Linked DNA regions of Schizosaccharomyces pombe. The protein of the gene in region 2 purifies or fractionates together with the protein of the main gene of each other region. This does not show direct contact. Each region holds a gene or a part of one and is shown on either strand. Other genes may lie near its edges. The genes, in order: nop2, cid14, grn1 and SPOM_SPCC126.11C.

The links.
Region 1: the proteins of cid14 (region 2) and nop2 purify together in Schizosaccharomyces pombe (affinity purification with western blotting; 2 studies listed by BioGRID, with this or other methods). This does not show direct contact.
Region 3: the proteins of cid14 (region 2) and grn1 purify together in Schizosaccharomyces pombe (affinity purification with mass spectrometry, with the first as the bait; one study listed by BioGRID). This does not show direct contact.
Region 4: the proteins of cid14 (region 2) and SPOM_SPCC126.11C purify together in Schizosaccharomyces pombe (affinity purification with mass spectrometry, with the first as the bait; one study listed by BioGRID). This does not show direct contact.

What each region holds. Positions count from the first base shown.
Region 1 is NC_003423.3:3,670,644-3,678,194, reverse strand, and holds nop2 (RNA methyltransferase Nop2), read left to right. Parts: upstream 1-1,570; 5' UTR 1,571-1,617; coding exon 1,618-3,444; 3' UTR 3,445-3,676; coding exon of another isoform or gene 3,677-6,736; 3' UTR 6,737-7,035; downstream 7,036-7,551. Other genes in the region: ubiquitin hydrolase Ubp3, read right to left, coding at 1-363, 402-482; histone H2A-H2B chaperone, FACT complex subunit Spt16, read right to left, coding at 3,677-6,736. UniProt on the Schizosaccharomyces pombe protein: S-adenosyl-L-methionine-dependent methyltransferase that specifically methylates the C(5) position of a cytosine in 25S rRNA. Required for 60S ribosomal subunit synthesis and processing.
Region 2 is NC_003424.3:319,795-324,673, forward strand, and holds cid14 (TRAMP complex poly(A) polymerase subunit Cid14), read left to right. Parts: upstream 1-2,010; 5' UTR 2,011-2,129; coding exon 2,130-4,184; 3' UTR 4,185-4,335; downstream 4,336-4,879. Other genes in the region: mRNA cleavage and polyadenylation specificity factor complex, WD repeat protein Pfs2, read left to right, coding at 180-1,709; gms2 (NST UDP-galactose transporter), read right to left, coding at 4,400-4,613, 4,668-4,879. UniProt on the Schizosaccharomyces pombe protein: Required for 3' polyadenylation of the 5.8S and 25S rRNAs as a prelude to their degradation in the exosome. Involved in the nucleolar organization to ensure faithful chromosome segregation during mitosis.
Region 3 is NC_003423.3:3,966,076-3,969,917, forward strand, and holds grn1 (GTPase Grn1), read right to left. Parts: upstream 2,123-3,842; 5' UTR 2,081-2,122; coding exon 2,068-2,080; intron 2,025-2,067; coding exon 625-2,024; 3' UTR 508-624; downstream 1-507. Other genes in the region: SWI/SNF complex subunit Snf59, read right to left, coding at 2,481-3,842. UniProt on the Schizosaccharomyces pombe protein: Required for optimal growth. Required for normal processing of ribosomal pre-rRNA. Required for nuclear export of ribosomal protein rpl2501.
Region 4 is NC_003421.2:2,135,087-2,138,481, reverse strand, and holds SPOM_SPCC126.11C (rrm type RNA-binding protein), read left to right. Parts: upstream 1-1,581; 5' UTR 1,582-1,627; coding exon 1,628-1,661; intron 1,662-1,713; coding exon 1,714-1,778; intron 1,779-1,828; coding exon 1,829-2,281; 3' UTR 2,282-2,878; downstream 2,879-3,395. Other genes in the region: SPOM_SPCC126.12 (NGG1 interacting factor 3 family protein), read right to left, coding at 1-94, 148-361; isoamyl acetate hydrolytic enzyme Iah1, read right to left, coding at 3,040-3,395.

The DNA.
Region 1 (7,551 bases), on a different chromosome or scaffold from region 2:
TAAAATAGAGTTCATAAAACATATATTTCCGGTATTTATAAAACCCCGAGGCTGTATAGGACGGGGTGCATCGAGGGATGGAGAATATGTTTCGATCAATTCACCAAGGGATGAATTGAAACTTTTTTTCTCAGACCTGTCAGACGGTACCGGAACAGAATGTGATTTTTTAACAGGAGAGTCTCCTTGAACATGCTTTTTCGCAATTGCAGACCACGATTTAGGCGATTTTTCAGACTCTTTCGTCTTTGATGTGACCAGAGGCATTTGCACCGAAACCGACCAATCTAAATTCTTAGGCGAACGCCTTTTTCTAGCCTTTCGATGAGGAAATTCATGTTCAGAGCATGAGTACCATGGTAGCTAAACGTTAGTATAATCACAATTTTAATAAAACATACCAGTGAATTGATAATAAATTGATTTCGTGACGAATCACTTTCCAAAGACGCGCTGTCCGTTGCAGAGGTCAAATCTCGCATGGAAATACGCACACTCTAGCAAGATTGAACTCTTGTTTACTAATTTGATGGTTGGCTGTCGTTCGCTTTGCTCTTCAAAAGACTGTCCAAAACTTTTTTTAATATACACTATACCTCGTTAATTCTTCGTATTCCACCAAGTGTATTATGGTGATATTCCACTGTAAACACTTGACCGCCTAACTCAAATTCCTAATTATTTTTAGTTGTTCTTTTTTATTATTAATTATTGAATGTCCATGCCCATCTTTAGTTATTTTTAGAGAATACGGTATATTTACATATCTAAGTACCACTATATGTATCTTAAACCACAAAAGTGATACGAAAAGAGAAAAGTAAATAGTAAATTTTAAAATTCGATATTCTGCTGTTGTGTGAACTATATATAGGTCTTGAATATATATTGTCACTCATTTTACGCCGCAGCAAATTCAATCGTTAACCAAGTCTTAATGTGATCATAATTGAAATGATTAATTGTCAAGGAGGTGAAGTAAGATGAACGAGTAAATTAAGTGACTTTTTTAAGTAAGCTGAGCAGTAAAGTACGTAGCAAATTTTAAAAAAGATAAATATAACAATAGTCGTGAATTTTTAATAATGTTAACTATGCTGTTGCTATGCGGTATATCTTTTTGTGTTTCAGCAATGCAGTTTGAATATCTGTTTAACGATACATAGAACTGCGGCAATTTTCTCTTGCGATCTACAATATAGCGGGATGCAGTATATTTTTAACTGACAATGTTTATAGGAAGCTATTAGTATCGATCATCGATACAGCTAGGAACTGTACCTCGTTCCTCAGTTCAACTGTAGCTCTATTAATAATATTTCTATAAGTTGCTATCAACGTTGCATCTATGTAGATAGACGGATAGTTTATCCTCGTGTATCAATAAACGGATCTTAAGTATTTAAACATATGGCATATAGTGATACGCAACATAGTATGTCATAGCGTAGTGTAGTATTGCTTGAAAAAATTTAATGTTCTTTATCTTTCGTAAAAGTTTTTAACAAAACTCAGCGATGTGAATAGTGGAGGTTGGACTGAAAGAATGCCAGTGCCAAAATTTTTCCTCAGCCCAAATAAACGTTTTTGGACTTCATCACATATTTTCCATAAAAGATGGGAAGAAAACAGAAGTCTAAGCAAGGAATTCCCCCAACTTTAGAGGAAAATCATAATTCTTCTCATAAAGTGACAGAAAATGCAAAAAAGAGAAAGCATTCAAAAGAAAAACCACAAAATTCTCGGAAACGCCAATTAGCAGAAGAAAAGAAATCTTTGTTTGAAAATTCGGATTCTGAGAATGAAAAAGATCTTATTGATGCAGACGAATTTGAAGAGGCTGAAACTTTATCAGACTTGGAACATGACGAGGAACCCCAAACATTTGCTGACGAGTTTATCGATGATGAGGCTAAAGAATGTGAAGGGGAGGAAGAAGATTCTGTTTTTGATTCGGATGAAGAGCATGAGGTTAAGCCTATGTTTAGCGATGATTCTGGAGATGAAGAGGATTTGGAACTTGCGAATATGGAAGCCATGTCTCGCAAACTTGATGAGGAAGCGGAATTAGAGGAAAAAGAAGCCGAGGAAGAATTGCATACCAACATACATCCTGAGGCTCCTACTGTTCTTCCACCTATTGATGGTTTTACCGATAGCCAACCAATATCTACTCTTCCACAGGATTTGAGCCAAATTCAATTGCGGATACAGGAAATAGTCCGTGTTTTGAATGATTTTAAAAATTTGTGTGAACCTGGACGCAATCGTTCTGAATATGTTGATCAACTCTTAAATGATATATGTGCGTATTACGGTTATTCTCGCTTTCTTGCTGAGAAGTTATTTGAATTATTTTCAGTTTCTGAGGCTGTTGAGTTTTTTGAGGCAAATGAAATGCCTCGTCCTGTCACAATTCGTACCAATACTTTAAAAACCCAGCGACGAGAATTAGCCCAAGCATTAATTAATCGTGGTGTCAATTTGGAACCAATTGGTAAATGGTCCAAAGTAGGTCTCCAAGTATTCGAATCCCAGGTTCCAATCGGTGCGACACCCGAATATTTAGCTGGTCATTACATCCTGCAAGCTGCATCTTCCTTCTTGCCTGTAATGGCCCTTGCGCCTCAACCAAATGAACGTATCCTTGACATGTCCTCAGCACCTGGTGGTAAAGTCACTTATGTTGCTGCATTACAAAAGAATACTGGAATTATCTTTGCAAATGATTCTAACAAAGCTCGAACAAAGGCTCTTTCCGCTAACATTCATCGTTTAGGTGTACGTAATGCTATTGTATGTAATTACGATGGCCGCAAGTTTCCCAACGAAGTAATTGGCGGTTTTGACCGTGTTCTCCTTGACGCCCCATGTTCGGGTACTGGTGTTATATATAAAGATCAGTCTGTTAAAACTAACAAATCTGAAAGGGATTTTGATACTCTTAGCCATTTACAAAGGCAATTGCTTCTAAGCGCTATTGATTCTGTCAATGCTGACAGCAAAACCGGTGGTTTTATCGTGTATTCTACTTGCAGTATTACTGTTGACGAAGATGAAGCAGTTATTCAATATGCTTTAAAGAAGCGCCCTAATGTTAAGCTAGTGTCCACTGGACTTGAATTTGGACGTGAAGGGTTTACCCGTTTTCGTGAAAAAAGATTTCATCCAAGTCTAAAGTTAACTAGACGTTATTATCCTCATGTTCACAATATAGACGGTTTTTTCGTTGCCAAACTGAAAAAGATTTCTGATAAAATCCCTACTGTAAATGTGGCTGATGATATGAAGGATGGAACAAATAATGATGTTGAAATTGAAAAGAATTCTACTGAAATTGATAATATTACTTTCAATGATGAAGCCGATAAGGAGATTATCGAGCAGAATCGTCGCAAATGGTTGAAGTCTAAAGGTTATAAGGTTGCAAAAAAAAAGGATTAGAATAATTTTGGTTAGGTTGGGATTACACAATAAAAGGTAACTGAACATTGATTCGCGTGTTACTACAACAATTATATTAATAGGTTGTCGTAAAGAGCCGGTCTTTATATTTTTGTATCAATCCATCTGGTTGTCAAATCTCAATTCAGTGGAATATTTTATTATAAAGTATTCTGGAATTTTTAGAATAAACTACATATAAATAATAAGAAAGTGAAGTAAATTTGTGAGTTTACCGGTGTCTCTTTTTAGATGGTCTTTCTTCAAAAGCATCGTGCTTAGCATCTTCTTGACGTGCTTTACGCTCCAATTCATCCCAATCTTCACCACTTTCTTCATCCTCCACTTCGCTTTCACTGTAACCATCCTCTTCACTAGCATCTTCGCTGTACTCCTCAGATTCTTCTTCCTCTTCATCAGAAGGGTCGGCATCAGAAGCTTCATACTCAGAAACCTCTTCGACACTATCATCTCCTTCATCATCACTCGGAGCTCCCAAAAATCCCCATCCTCCTTCTTCAAAGAATGCAATGGGGTCCTCGTTGACAGTTTTCATAATCGTGGTCCAGTTCAAATTAAGAGGACCTTCATAGAAGCATATATCGCATGAATCGAGCCATTCCTTTACATTATCTAATTGCTCCATTGGAATTGTATTGATATGAATCGGAGGGCGGCGGAAGTCTTGAAAGATGAAAACCAAATCAAAATTTTTTAAACCAAATTGTACACGCTCCAAGTGTGCAATTTCAATTTCGTTTAGTGTAATTACAGTAAATGGTGTGTCTGTCAATTGAACTAGGCAATCAGTAGTCGGCTGCAATAAAACATTGGAACGGAAGGGAACACCATTGAATGCAAGTTCGCGAAATGGAATGTCTAATTCAATTCGTCCCTCACTTGCTTCAGCGATTTTTTCAGCAAATGATTTAAATTCGCGATCTAATTGAGCACGACGCCGTCTTTCTTCTTGTTCTTGCTCCAATTCATCTTCATCACCATACATGTATTTCCGCTTCTTGTTTCCAGTTTCGTCAAACTGAATATCAGAAACTTCGCGATAAAATTGCACGTCCTGGGTCTTCCTTTTTCCCACCATGATCGGAGCTTTCAGATGAACATGAATAAGAACGATAAGCTCGCCTTCACATGGCTGGAAAAAGAGATGCTTCATATTAGAAAACAAAAGATCAATGTGGCTATCTGAACGTAATGGCGATTGATACCGAATACCATTTTGGTGTATCTCAATGAATCCAGGCAACCGTTTCCCGTCAATAGCAGGGCGAACGTAAACATCATTTATATGAGCAGGTCTCTTGTTCTTTATTTCAATTAATTTATCTTGCTCAATAACATCAGCAAACTCCTTACGTTCAGTTTCACGCTTGGTAGCTGCTTTCTTCATATCTTGGATGTCCTTGAATACTTGCGACATTCTAGAATTATTTGAACTTCTGAAAGTAAAGCTTCGTATGAATTGGGCATTAGGGTCCTCAAACGGTAACTCATCCTTTTTACCGCCAATCTGGCCAGGACTTACGAAATTTAGTCGTAAATACACAAAATTTCCCTCATCGTTTTTACTAGCATTTTTTAAAGTAGATATATGGAACGGGACAGGCCGACCGAAAATGGGTAAAATAATACTTTGAGCTCGATAATCTACTAGAATACGTAACTCACCAATTGCTTGTGGAAGTTGCGAGTCACGCTTGTACGACTCAAATCGTTTGACAGTGGGTTTTTCGATGCCGCTAGACGGAACAGAACCTTGAGCAAATCGTTGCAATCCCTCAGCCTGTTTTCGCGATGCTAGTTGCTTTTGATGCTCAACACGCCTCTTTTCAGCAGAATCATCCAAGTCTCTGGTTTCACTTCGAGTCTTTCCTTTATGACTTGATATAGTTGCCGTTCCCCGAGTAGGTGGTTTGCGTGGCTTTACGCCGTCTTCAAGAGAAGAATCATCTTCACCAAAGAAGTAGGATATATCACCTTGAGCTTTTGGAGAATCAGTAAATACGATTGGATCACTTCTTGTTATTTGAATTGTGTCAATCAATAAAAGAGCATACTCTTTAGACTGAGAATTTTTAGGATGAGGATTAATCAAATTCCCAAATCCAATGCTAAGATTTAGAGTCATCCCGGCTTGAAGAACGCGTGGGTTTTTGGCATTTACTAAAAGTGAAGATTCGCGAAATTCAATGCCAATGCCGGCACCTAGATTTCTTACAAAATTAGGTTCGAGATCAGGACGTTTAGCACGTATAAGACCCAAAATTTTCGTATATATGTCCCCAATAACAGCGCCATCTCTGCAGTATTCGAACAACTTTTTCTGAAGCGCTACTAAAAAAGAGTAATTTTTCTGTTGTTCGGAATCAGGATCAAATAAATAAGTGCGACCAACATTAGAACAATACGATTTGTAGCGAAACCCTAAAGAGCATAGGACGACGTCCCCATGAAGATTTCTATCATCTGTTATAGCAGAAGGCTTCAAATCATAACTACCCCCCGATTGAATAATGGGAGTATAACACCACTCTAGTTGATCCAAGTCTATGTCTCCTAGTTTCAAAGATTTTGTTTGAAAAAAAGCCTCGTTATCAATAAGGCTTTCCATCTGATCCGAAAACTTAGAGTGAGTTATTTTTTTTCCTTGGTCAATATAAGTCGAAAGTTCATCAACAAAATATTTACTCATAACCGCAACACTAACCCGCGATGCTCCTTTTATATTAGCAAGTTCTTGTTCGTCCTTTATAGCAAGACACTTTGCTAAGCCAAGCGATGCATCCACAAGATTAAATTCTGATTTCACTGGTTCAAAAATTGAGTCCCATTCATTAATGAATTTTCCTTGTGTTTTATCCTTAGGAAATACTCCGACCTTTTTATTGGTGGCTCTAATATACTCTATTATTTTTTCAAAAAGCTTTTTATTTTCCTCAGCATCTTTCGTTCTCTTCAAGATGTTAACGTCAGCTGCAGCCCCCTTGGTTTCAGCCAATTTCGTTAACATATTGGCCTTGTTAACTGATGTAAGGATTGTGATTCGATGCTTTTCAAGAAGTATTAAAGTCGATGGAAATTCATAACCCAAGAGCCATGTATGTAGTGCAGTGGACTTTTGATATGGATTCGTATCATCATGAGCCCCTACTGTTACTAAAATACTGTCGCAGTCTTGAAACAGCGTCTTTCCGTCTTCCTCATTCTTCCAGGAGGTAAGAAGTATGCCCAAGCGTTTATGAAATGTAATTTCGTCTATTTCATATTCAGCCATTTTACCTTTAATTAACGATTTAAGATATATTCACTCTTTAGCGAATAGTTATTTTATCTGAAAGGGCAAAAAGGCTTTTTCTTACAAAATTTCTTAAAATTTTGTAAAAAAGAAACAGGAATTGTTTTATTTTTTTTTTATTGATTGATAGCTTTTTTTGATATCTTGTGGATGGAGGTGGGTAAGTGGTAGTACTTTTGAATGTAGATATATAGGGCTGGGATTTCTGCGACGCGACTCGACTTACGCTGCATGTGTTCTAGCTTGATTATTTGAGCTTGTTAATGTTTATAATAGACCACAAGCATCATAAAAAAATAAAATTTATTTATTTATTTTTTGGTTCTTCAAGAGCAGGATGAATATCACGCTTTGCTGTATATAATCGTAAACGGTTGGACAAGCTTTATAATTTTTGGAGCACGAATACTATACATACATGTCTGAATACGTCTACGTACATATATGAGCTGTAGTAATTTAAAAAATCATTTACCTACGTCAAGCAATCCAAAGACAATAGATATTACTTAATGCTTTAGTTATTGAAAAGTGGCACAAATTCTGGAGCACTCAGCTTTAAACGGATTAAATTGATTTGCTTGGTAAAATGAACTGAGTAGAACAAATTATAAAACTACAACGCAAAACTAGTAAGCCATTTATAAAGATCATTTTTACCCGGTATACCTTTGCTTTAGATGAAACTAATTTTGAAATGCACCATTAAAAATAAGGTATATTAAGTGGTTTGTAACCCTTTTACGCGACTAACCAGTTAAATACCAATTTTATCTTAAAAGTATATACGGTAT
Region 2 (4,879 bases):
GCTCATTTTCCCAGCACGTAAAACGCGCCAAATATCTATATATTAGAATACCATACGAAAAACGGTAAAGTTTATACTACATTAGAAGGAACTTTAAGTTGGTTTTATTTAAATTAAAGATTGATTTTATTGCTGCTAAATAAGGAATTTCACATCTTTGGGGAATTGGTTAATTCATCATGGAAAGAGCTGAAAATGCTAGAATTATTCAAAAGCCTATGACTCGTAGGACTGTGGACTATGGATCAGGGCTATCAAAGTATATTGTCAATCGACATTTGCGTAGCAATCGCTATCACATACATGTACCGAGACCAAATCCGAATCAAATAATTAACTTGTATCCCCCTTATGAATACAAGTATAATAACACATCTTCCTTGTGCACCAAATATATTCATACGTCTGCAAATAAAGCTAGACATGTTATTAACGTTGTGCGCTGGACTCCAGATGGTCGAAGACTGTTGACAGGTTCTTCAACTGGTGAATTTACTCTGTGGAATGGTCTCACATTTAATTTTGAGTTAATTAATCAGAGTCATGATTATGCCGTTCGTTGTGCTGAATGGAGTACAGATGGGCGCTGGCTTATTTCCGGCGATGGAGGAGGCATGGTAAAGTATTTTGAACCGAATTTAAACAATGTCAAAATTGTTCAAGCTCATGAAATGGAAGTTAGAGATGTTGCCTTTTCACCCAATGATAGCAAATTTGTCACAGCGAGTGATGATGGTTCATTAAAAGTATGGAATTTCCATATGAGTACTGAAGAGCTGAAACTAACTGGTCATGGATGGGATGTAAAAACCGTCGATTGGCATCCTTCAAAAGGTCTCTTGGCTTCTGGTTCTAAAGACAATTTAGTGAAATTTTGGGATCCAAGAACCGGTACATGTATTGCGACTTTGCATGGTCATAAAAACACAATAATGCAAGCATCTTTTCAGAAAAATTTTGGATCAAATTATTTGGCTACAGTCTCTAGGGATAGCACTTGTCGAGTATTTGACTTACGTGCCATGAAGGACGTTCGAGTTTTACGTGGTCATGAAAAGGACGTAAACTGCGTAACATGGCATCCTCTTTATCCTAATTTGCTTACTACTGGTGGCTCCGATGGAAGTGTCAATCATTATTCACTTGATGAACCTCCATTACTTTCTCAGCAAAAGTATCATGAAAAGCATCCAAATGTTACTCTTTCCGCGTCTTCTTATTTACTATACCCTACTGCTGAAATTCCATTTGCTCATGATTTGGGTATTTGGAGTATGCAATATCATCCTCTTGGACATCTTTTATGTACAGGTTCAAATGATAAAACTACACGTTTTTGGTCAAGATCTCGCCCAGATGACAAGGAATCCACCATGGATCGCCATCATTTAGGTGAAGAACAGTCTGAGGCCATGCTAAGTCAGAGAAAAGCAGCGATCGAAGAAGACGATAATTATGAACCTGACGAAAACCCTCTCACCGAAACATTAGCAAATGCCCATAATCCCCAATTTTCTGGAGTACTTAATCTTCCGGGTTTAGGGACTATGCCCTCCTTTCCATCGCCTTATCAACATGGACAACCTCAAATTCCCGGTATGCTTCATGCATCTTTGAGCAATTCATACGCTGAGCCGTCAACTCAAAACTCTTTTATCCCAGGTCTCACCTCAAAGTCACAAGATGGGTATCCTCAAAACTATCGATAATACATTTCTTTGTTATTTGAAAAACATATTTACTTGGCATTAATTAGATTTAAAAAAAAAAAAATTCACACCGCAGCTCACTGGATTCATACTAAAAATTGGGTTTGGCAAAGCAAAACCTACACTAATTTTTTTTTTAATGATAACTAAGCAACAATTTACATTATACCATTCATACTCGACAAGCACTTCTATATCTCGCTCTCCATACAAGATGTTCCCCAAATTGAATTACCGAGTGTCAACGATTTTCGTAAATAAATCGTTAATAGTTAGGTATGCTACATTTAGTAAGTTGTTCACCACCAAATTTTCAAAGATCTTATGTGATTAATAATTGTGGTTCAATTAGTCATATATTGATTTTTATAAGAATTCTACAAGATAGGTATAGAAAACCATTCTATCCATGTCTTAGAGATGGGTAAAAAAAGCGTGTCATTTAACCGCAATAATTATAAAAAGCGTAAAAATGAGAGAACTGAACCACTTCCAAGGAGGATTTTTAAAAACGATAAACCGAGTAAATTTAAATCTAAAAGAAAGGAAAAGGATAAAAATTCAGACGCTTATGACGAAATGCTTCTGAATAACAATTTTACGCTTCTGGATCAAGAAGAACCCATGGTTGAAATTGGAAGTAAAAAATCACGTAATGATAATGATTCAGAAGGAATACGTGATAAAGGTGGAGTAGAAATTTCAAACAAAAACGATCCATATATTCAATTTGGAAAAGCCGATCCATTAGAGCCGCTGGAAAAACCTGATTTACCAGAGGAAGCAATAAAACGTGGTGAACCTACCATTCTTTTAGGTATACCAAAAAGAGAAGGTAGAAAAACTAACCCTGTACACGACAAGGCTGTCGAAAATAATTCTGATTTTATCAAGTTCGATTGGAACAGCGATGAAGACGAGGATAGTGTTAGTAATGATAAAAGCAAGAATAATGAGTCCTTAAAAAAGTCTTCTAAAAATGAGATCCCTGGCTTTATGCGTCAACGAGGCCGATTTTTTCATGAAGCAAATGAAAAATCGGATTCTAACCGTAAACGAAAACGCCAAGCGTATGAGCTTGATTCTCAATCATGCCCTTGGCACCGTCAGTATAAGGTAGAGCGAGAAGTCTCTAGAATTTTTCACCAAGACATTCTTCACTTTATTGACTATATTACTCCGACTCCTGAAGAGCATGCGGTTCGGAAGACGCTTGTTTCTCGTATAAATCAAGCTGTCTTGCAAAAATGGCCAGATGTATCACTTTATGTTTTTGGAAGTTTTGAAACCAAATTATATTTACCTACTTCAGACCTTGATCTTGTAATAATATCACCTGAGCATCATTATCGGGGTACAAAAAAAGATATGTTTGTTCTTGCTCATCATCTAAAGAAGCTAAAACTTGCTTCTGAAGTCCAGGTCATTACTACTGCTAACGTTCCAATCATCAAGTTCGTTGATCCGTTAACCAAAGTTCATGTTGACATATCTTTTAATCAACCTGGAGGTTTGAAGACATGTCTGGTAGTGAACGGTTTCATGAAAAAATACCCTGCTCTTAGGCCGTTAGTAATAATTATTAAACATTTTTTGAACATGCGAGCGCTAAACGAAGTCTTCTTGGGCGGATTAAGTAGCTATGCGATTGTTTGTTTGGTTGTTTCTTTTCTTCAATTACACCCTAGACTTAGTACAGGTTCTATGCGTGAAGAAGACAATTTTGGTGTTTTGCTGCTAGAGTTTTTGGAGTTGTACGGAAAACAATTTTATTATGATGCTGTCGGTATCGCTGTTCACAATGGTGGTTTTTATTTTTCAAAAAAGAAGATGGGTTGGCTGAAGCCAAACCAGCCTTATTTGCTTTCAATCCAAGATCCGGTAGATTTCCAAAATGATGTTTCTAAATCTAGTCGTGGATTATTACGCGTAAAGGCTACATTTGCAAATGGCTTTGATTTGCTAACTAGTAAATTATACGCACTCGCATCTCGTATAGAAAGAGAGGGTGTCAATCGAGTCAAAGATTTCCCTAGTATCCTAAGTACCATATTATCAGTTGATGAAGGGGTTCGTCAACATCGTGAGCATATGTTAAAATGTTATAAGAATAATCCAGTTCCTTTAGAACCTTTAGTGGAAGTGGATGCTTTAGCAAGTATTGATGTCGACAAGCTTCCATTGCAAGACGTTGGTTTGCAATATGTTGAGGATGAATCCGATTCAGACGAAACAGATGCTGCAAAGGATGATTTGTTTAAAGTAAATGAATCAATTGAAACCAACGGCCATGAAAATTTTCAGAAGCAAGCTTTGACATCTACGGGAGAGCAGTCCTCCTCTAATTCTCGAGCTAATCCCAGTAAATTATTTAACATAAGCAGTGACGATTCGGAAGACGAAGTACCTATTATTGAGGACACCACTGCTTCAGATGAAGAATCTCGAGCGAAAAAAATACGCAAACGTTTTTAGTTAATTTACATGTAAAATACCAGGTTATATAGAGGGATAAAAGGTTTTATTATCAATTATGATTATAGTTTGATAATTGTATTAATAAATTATCTTTATAGATTATACTTACGATTTAGCCAGTAAACTCGAATACCAGTAATAAATTAATCAACACCTTAAACTCACTATGGATCTGTAGTAATTTTGCATAAACGATGAAACTAGTTAAGAAATTACGATTCGGCGAGAGGAAATTTGATGATAGAATGGTAAGTAAATATGCCATAAATAAGAAGCACGAATCCCAAGAATTGAAGTAAATGGAATGACTCCATCCCCATTGCCATAGCAATAATCCAAATTCCGAATGTTCGAGCAATATCTAAAAGAGATCGGGTAGTAGCTGAGTGAAGTTTTGTAATGGCTAAGCCGGAAACGTTGAAAAAACTAAGGTTGGAACGTTAGTAAATACGAATGGTCAATTTTTTAACATGAACTTACGCAATAGATACCAAAATAACTCCAGAAATAACATAGAGTGCAGGGACTTCATTAAATCGAGATATAACGTGTGAATAGTCAAACCACCCGTGGTATCCAGCAGTAGTAGAACCGATAAAATAGTAAGAAATAATCATTCCTAAAAGGACAAAAAATACGCCATAAGTACCTTCATAAGCAACTAATTCTGAAGGGTCGACTTGAATAAACGA
Region 3 (3,842 bases), on a different chromosome or scaffold from region 2:
TAGGCTTTTAAAAAAAATTTTTGTGTATTTATTAGCCGATTGTTAATTGAAAAGAATCAAGTCTTAAATCATTGCTTATTAAATAGTTTACTTCTTTTATATACAAGCTTTTTTTCTTTTCTTTGGTAATGTATGTAACTTTATTTATTCTTTAGTTTATATACATAATTATTAACTGCTAAACAGATTAATTTGATATTATGCCATATTCAGTAGTAGCGCAAAATAGTATGGTTAGAATTGTTTGTGTTTATCCTATCAATTGATATAAAAATGAAATGAAACTTATAACTGCACGTTAGTATCAATGTCATTTTCCGTACATATTCAATTGACTTTATTTAAGCCAGCATGCATTGATTTAATAATTTCCCGTATTAGCGAACCTATTACTTAAAACTTCTCCCATATCAAACATTACTTTTACAAGTAAATGTAAAACAACACATTCAAGAATACGGCATATATGCAAAAAAAATTATTTATATATTAATTCAAAAAGTAATAGCTAGTAACCATCAACACCTAAAGATTTTTAAAACCCGAAGAAAAACCGCAACCGAAAACCAAATCCCAAAATATAAGCTCTAAGCAACAATAGCTTTTTTCGTAAGTTGAAAACTCTCAAAAATCATTAAGGTCAAATTCTTTGGCCCACTCAGTAACGATTTGAGTATCCTGAACTTCAGATGAGTTCTTTTCGTTTATAACCTCAGGCTCGGCCCACCATTCGATACGACCAGCATGCCAGTCATTAATGACAATATTGGCAGCAGCGTTAAGATTTGGAATTCCACCGCGACCTAGACGACCACGCTTACGAGCAATATTGACTAAAAAATCAGTAGCAGTGTCTATATCGGATGTATTCAATAGAGGAGGAAGCTCATATCTTTGAAACATTCTTTCCAATTGTCCTGGAACTCTGCTAAGGAATTGCAAAATGTAAGAAGCAACGGCAACGGGATCATCAACTTTGGTGGATGAAACAGCATTAAGCATTACAAGACGATACAAATCGTCTTTAGAATCACTAGAAGGAAAAACAATACCAGGACTATCGACCAAACGTAATTTGTTATCTAGCTTCACCTCTCGCAAAGAAGTAGTCATTCCGGCAACGTTTCCGGCAGGACAAGGTGCAGAACGACCATTCGCAGAACGGTTGACAAGAGCGTTAATAACAGATGATTTACCAACGTTGGGGTATCCAATTACACCGACTGTAAGAGAGCTTTTAAGCTTCTTCTTGGCTGAGTAAGACTTGAGTGATTTAAGAAGATTGGAGATAGTGGAACTAGCAGAAGCCGACTGGTGCTTTAAATTTGAGTTTCCAGATCCTGAAGCGGAACGCATAGGAATCGTAGGAAAGAAATTGCGGAGATAGGTAACCCACTTGTTGAGTACTTCTGATGGTACTAAGTCAATTTTGTTGATAACGAAAATAAGACGCTTTTCTTCAGCAGAAGATGCTAAAACTTGACGTTCAACGTCTTTTGAACGAGTCCCTTCAGGATCACGAGCGTCAAGAACGTAAAGAATCACATCTGACGCTTCAACAACTTTTTTGAACTCCTTATCATATGCCTTTCTAGAGGTATCTGCCTTCACTGATGCCTCATAAGACTCGGAGTCAACTAATAAAGGGGCCTCTCCAAGGTTGTCTTCTTCCATCACAAACTCTTCCTCATCATCTGGGTTAGACGCTTGTGCAGCCTCAGCTATCTTTGAAATCATTAGGGATCCATTTTCATCAACAGCGTCTTCCTCTTCCATTGCAGCATCAACTTGTCCTGAAGCACGACGAGCCAATTTTTCTTCTTCTCTAATGCGCTTCTGTTCTTCGATCTCAGCAAGAATTTTATCCTTGTAGGGGAATGAGTTAGGAATACCTGGATCTTTAGGAATTCTGCTTTTCCATTGCGGATTTTTTTTATCAGCTCTTTTTTGCTTGCGTTTGCTCTCTGCAGCTTTCTTTTCAATTCTGCTACGAAGACGAGTAGTTCTTCTTTTACTCTTTTTTTCTTAAGAAATAAGTTAGAAATAGTTACGCGTGCATATACTTACTTAAGGAAACCATTGTAAAAAATGCTGTAGTTACAAATTTTACAGTTGGTTGTCTAGAGAAAAAACATTACCGATTATTCTTTTTTAACCCCAAATGCTATAGTACGGAACAGTACATTAACTTAATTTACGATATGTAACAATTTTGGATTGTACCTCGTTATTTTTAAAGTTGAAGCTAATTAGTAATTTATATTCACATTTAGAAAGATTTCCTTAGTTTAGCAATGCTTCAGTATTTTAAAAGCTAGTGATCTTTGAAATGTTGTTCAGTATTTGTGAAAAGAGTTATAGAAAAGTAAAAAATATTATGTATTTAGATTAAATTAAAGAAACCAATAGCAACTAGCCTAAATCCACTTGATCGAAAATATGATAGCTCAGCAATGCAATTAATAATTTTTAATATAAAGTCATGAAACAGATCTGTTGACACCTCGTAATTTTGTATAATAACTTAACCTTGCTTCTTTCCTTAGATTTCTTGTCCTCATGACTTTAGAATTGTAAAAAGAAGCACCCTGAGCAAGCGTCAAAATATCCTTACCTTGAAATGGTGAGGGTGAATTTTGATTATCCATACTTTTTAGCTCAAGCTTTACAGAGGAAGAACGAGTGCTTCCATTAGCCATGACATCCATATGATAATACTCATCGTCAGCCCAGCTAATGTTTTTTTCAATAAGAGCTTTATGACTCTCTGGATCTATCGTTCCCTTCATCAATATTCTAGCACCGAATGCCAAAAACATTTGTCTAGCTGGAACAATGCTTAGTTGTCGAAATCTAAAATTAGATGCCAACAAACCCATTTCAACCATTTGGTCCCTCTCACTTTGTGTTGTAAGTACTTTTCGTAAAGATGGCGTCTTATGAAACATGAAGTAACTATCCTTAAAGCCGAGTAATCTTGAGCATTCTGTACCAAGCATATACAACACTTTGCCACGTCCTTCTAGGCAAAATGTTTTAGCTCGATATTCAAAACCATCCGCTAGTTTGCCATACGTGTCAATTACTTCACTTATGTATTTATCTTTGTCCTCAATCTTTTCTGTTATGGGGGTTACACTCGTGATTTGAGCAATGTCATCACTAATTTCCTTTTTACTTAATGCTTCATCAACTGGAGGTTCTTTGCATTTTGAAGGTGCGGTATCTTTTAGGCTGTTATTTGGATGAATCAACAAATTACCCTCCTGTTTTACTGCAGAATCAGATTTTGAAAGACTATTTTCTGAAAATTCATCACCCATTTTTTCGGGAATTTTGGAGTAAACAGGTTCTTCATTTTTTGAATCAACATGATGTATCGGTTCCTCCCTGATTGATTTAGTATTATGTTCAGACTCTTCATTTTTTGATTCAGTGTGATACTCAGGTTCATTATGCTCTGAATCAATGCGATGTATAGGTTCTTCAATTTTTGAATTAACGTGCAGCTCAGGTTTTTCAATTTTCGAATCATCACACTGTTTAGGTCCTTCGTTTCTAAAATCACCAGAAGGTTTGGGTTCTTCAATTTTAAAATTTTTCTGATTTTCAGATTCATCCATATTTGAATTATCAAGATTTGTAGATTCTTTATTTGAACTATCATGATGTTTAGGTTCTTCCGACATGTTTAAATCATCAAGATTTGTAGATTCTTTATTTGAATTATCATGATGTTTAGGTTCTTCCAACATATTTGAATCATCAAGATTTGTAGATTCTTTTTTTGAATTATCATGATGTTCAGGTTCTTCCAACATGTTTAAATCATCAAGATTTGT
Region 4 (3,395 bases), on a different chromosome or scaffold from region 2:
TAAACGTGAATTCCTTCAGCAGCAAGTTTTAAAAGGCTTCTTTGTTGGGGATCCTCCATCGTGATGGCTTTAAGCCCACGAAAGATAATGGGGTCTAGTTGTGAGTAAGTTGTGTAAACAATAAAAGTAGAAGGTTAACCGCCATACGATATGCTACAATAGATGATACAAGTTTATTTGAAATAGCTTCTTCAGCAACTTTCTCAGTCAAGTCAATCGTCAAAAGTACGGAACTTGCATTTGTTCTTGGGAAAGGAGCCTCAAGCAGAAGCCCAGTGTTGTCCCAAGAATCCGCCAATTTTGGATTATAGATGGACTCAACTACTTTTTTTAATTTGGAAGAAATATTTGCCTTAGACATATTTGGGGAAAGATACCATTAAACGCAGTGATTCCTGAACGACCGTAAGACCACGTTTACGACAACACTTAGTCCTAGGATATGCTTTCTCAAATCTGCTAAATTCTGTAGAGCATGAAGGAATTCTAGCAACGCGTAGCAATACACAATTTTAACTATGCAGTCCTGCGTATCGGTAAAAAAATATTGAACTGCATAGCGAGCATTAAAAAACGATTAGGTAGTACTTTATTATTTTACCGATATTTTTTTATCTATCCTAATACAGCTAAAAAAATCTACGCTTGCAAATGCCTCTATATAAGAAATGCTGAGTGTTAATTTCACAATTTGAATATTTACTTTGTTTATTAATTTCCTCTGTTTATAGAAAATATTTTTTCAGTCAAAGGAAGAGGCCATAGGCATTTCTATCCCATTTGTAAAAGAGCATCCAGTATTTAATGTTTGTAGTGCGTATTCTTCGGGACATGAAATAAATTCTTAGGAAAAAAAATCTCGTTTATTAAACGTACAAAACAATTTAGTGTCTAGTGTTCTAGTTCATCAAGTTTTTAAAAACGTTCGAATGCAATCTCATTATCATTCAATCGGTTCTAGTACTTCTTAGACTACTCGTTACATTCAAAACATATACATTGGTAATGCATTAATCGGTTTTTATATCTCCTCAAGCGTTAAAAATGCTACAGCTCACAGTTGCCGTGCAGAAAAAAACTGTAAAGAAAGAGTTGAAAGAAACAAGAACTAATATTTAAGAAGGAGCAGATTAATCTCCTTTGGATTTTAATGAACACATTAAATTGATTATCATATTGCTAATAGTACACTTCAAACATTTCAATATATAATATAACTGGACCTTTTGTGTCGGCTTTTTTTTTAATTGGTCTATATGACAATTATTTGTAAACAACTCTTTTTTTTCCTAAGGTCATTCCAAGGTCTATAGGAAGGATGAAATATGTATAATTTGGGAATCTTAATTGTTTAAAATGGTACTATGACCAACATGCATGCAAATATTCAAGATATTTCATCATCAAAAGATTGCAATATCTATTGAAAAATCTTGAAATAGGAGTAATGAATTGATTACATGACTAATTTTAAATAGAAGCTCAAGAAAAACAGTTAAACTTCTCAGGTTTTCTACCTGATATTCACTCTTGTTTATGTTCGATATAGGATCTCCCGTCTCACCTCCAATTCCTGCTACTAAGCAGCACTACCACCAACACGCACCTAATAAGTTCTCGTGGACGGATGGCAAAACGAGGCAACAAAAAGAAGCAAGAAGGTAAAATCGTAGCTGGAAACCCATAAAATAAAGCTAACATATTTTTACATAGCACCGCTGTCGCTAGGCAAACATACAGTTGGCGGACGTGTTGGGAAACCAACAAATGCTAAAACCGTATGCTTTTTATTTTTTCCAATGTTTTTTTACTCTAACAAATTGTGAAGGGATCAGCTTTAACTTCAGATAAAAGTTTGTTTGATAAACGTATTGTTAAGCAACTGAAGAATAATGAGCTTTTTAACCGTTTGACTCTCCCCTCGCAAGAACTAAGGGATGGTATAGTACGAGAAAATCAAACAAAGCCATCCAATTCTAATTCCCAAAGCAATGGTGCTATTTCGATCCGTGGTATCGCCGGACCCACTAACGTAGTTATTGAAAATCTTGCTCCCGGAACTTCTTCTGACGATGTCGCTGCTACGTTGCTTAATTTTGGGGAAATTTTGAATTGCCAAGTTAACGATTCTCAAGGAAAGGTGCGTGCTAGTGTTCGATTCAGTACCCTCGCAAGTGCTCAGCAAGTTGTCCAAAAGCTCGATGGCGTAACTGCTGATGGCTTTAAACTCTCTTGTTATATTAAAAAAAACAGTAAAAAGAGAAGAACTCAAAAGAAATGAACTTTTTGCAGCTGTTAGATTCTTTTCATACTTATTTTTTGCTTCCACTGAAGTGTACGTGACTTAATATGATACCTACTGTCCATATCGCTCTTCTGAAATACTCCTTCACGTTATCTGTAATTGGGAAACCTAGAGACTTACCAAAACTCATTCAAGTTTCTACCTTTTGATTTTAAATCAATTTCTGCCTTCCCTCAAACCAGTTCTTGTTATAAAGAATCTCATCGTATTTCTTATTCTGAAACTCTGTACATAACTCTTTAATCTTCACAAAGCGTTAAAAATCGGACGTTAATTCCTTCCCATTTTTCCTTTGAATGTATTCTTGGTGAGTAGCTTATTTGAAAAATTAAAATTTAAGTTGTTACAATTTACGAAATCAAGTTTTGTTTTTGTAGACCTTCTGTTGACATAGTAAATTGTTGATACCCTCGTTTCTACTGTTTTGAAAATTGGATTTGATTTTGACAATAATAGGGGTTTCTAGGAATATAAAATTAATTGCAATGATAAAATTAGTTTTATGGTCAAGTCATCGAAGCTGATTCTGGGTCATGCATATTAATCATATACAATATGAGTACTATGAGATCCATGTAAAGTATTCATTTCCATGAATGATTTTAAAATCGGCATAGATCCTCGGTATCACCGTGCGAATGCTTCTTAGTTTATGTCTAGTTAGCAAAAATAATTATAAGCGAAAAGCATGTGAGAGTGTAATAATCAATAATTTATTCATGAGCCGAAAAAATTTAAGTAAAGAGAATTTCAGACCAATGAGGAAATTGAAGAGGAAGATTGTTCGGTAGCAATTCGGGCCAAGCTTTTGAAATCGTTGCAACAATTTCGTTGAATAACAAACTATACCCCAAAGACGAAAAGTGAAGACCATCCGTGAATAGCAACTCGGGCGTGGGATAGGATTTCGTAATTTCATAAAGATTGATAAGACCTGCTGAATTAGCTTTAGATTTATTAAGGGTGTTCACTGTTTCAGAAGCAGCAATTACATATGGCTCTTGTTCACGTTTAAAACAAATGTCCTTTGTACATATACCGGGAGATACTATGATAATCTTAGAATGAGGAAATGGTCTGGTAAGTGCTA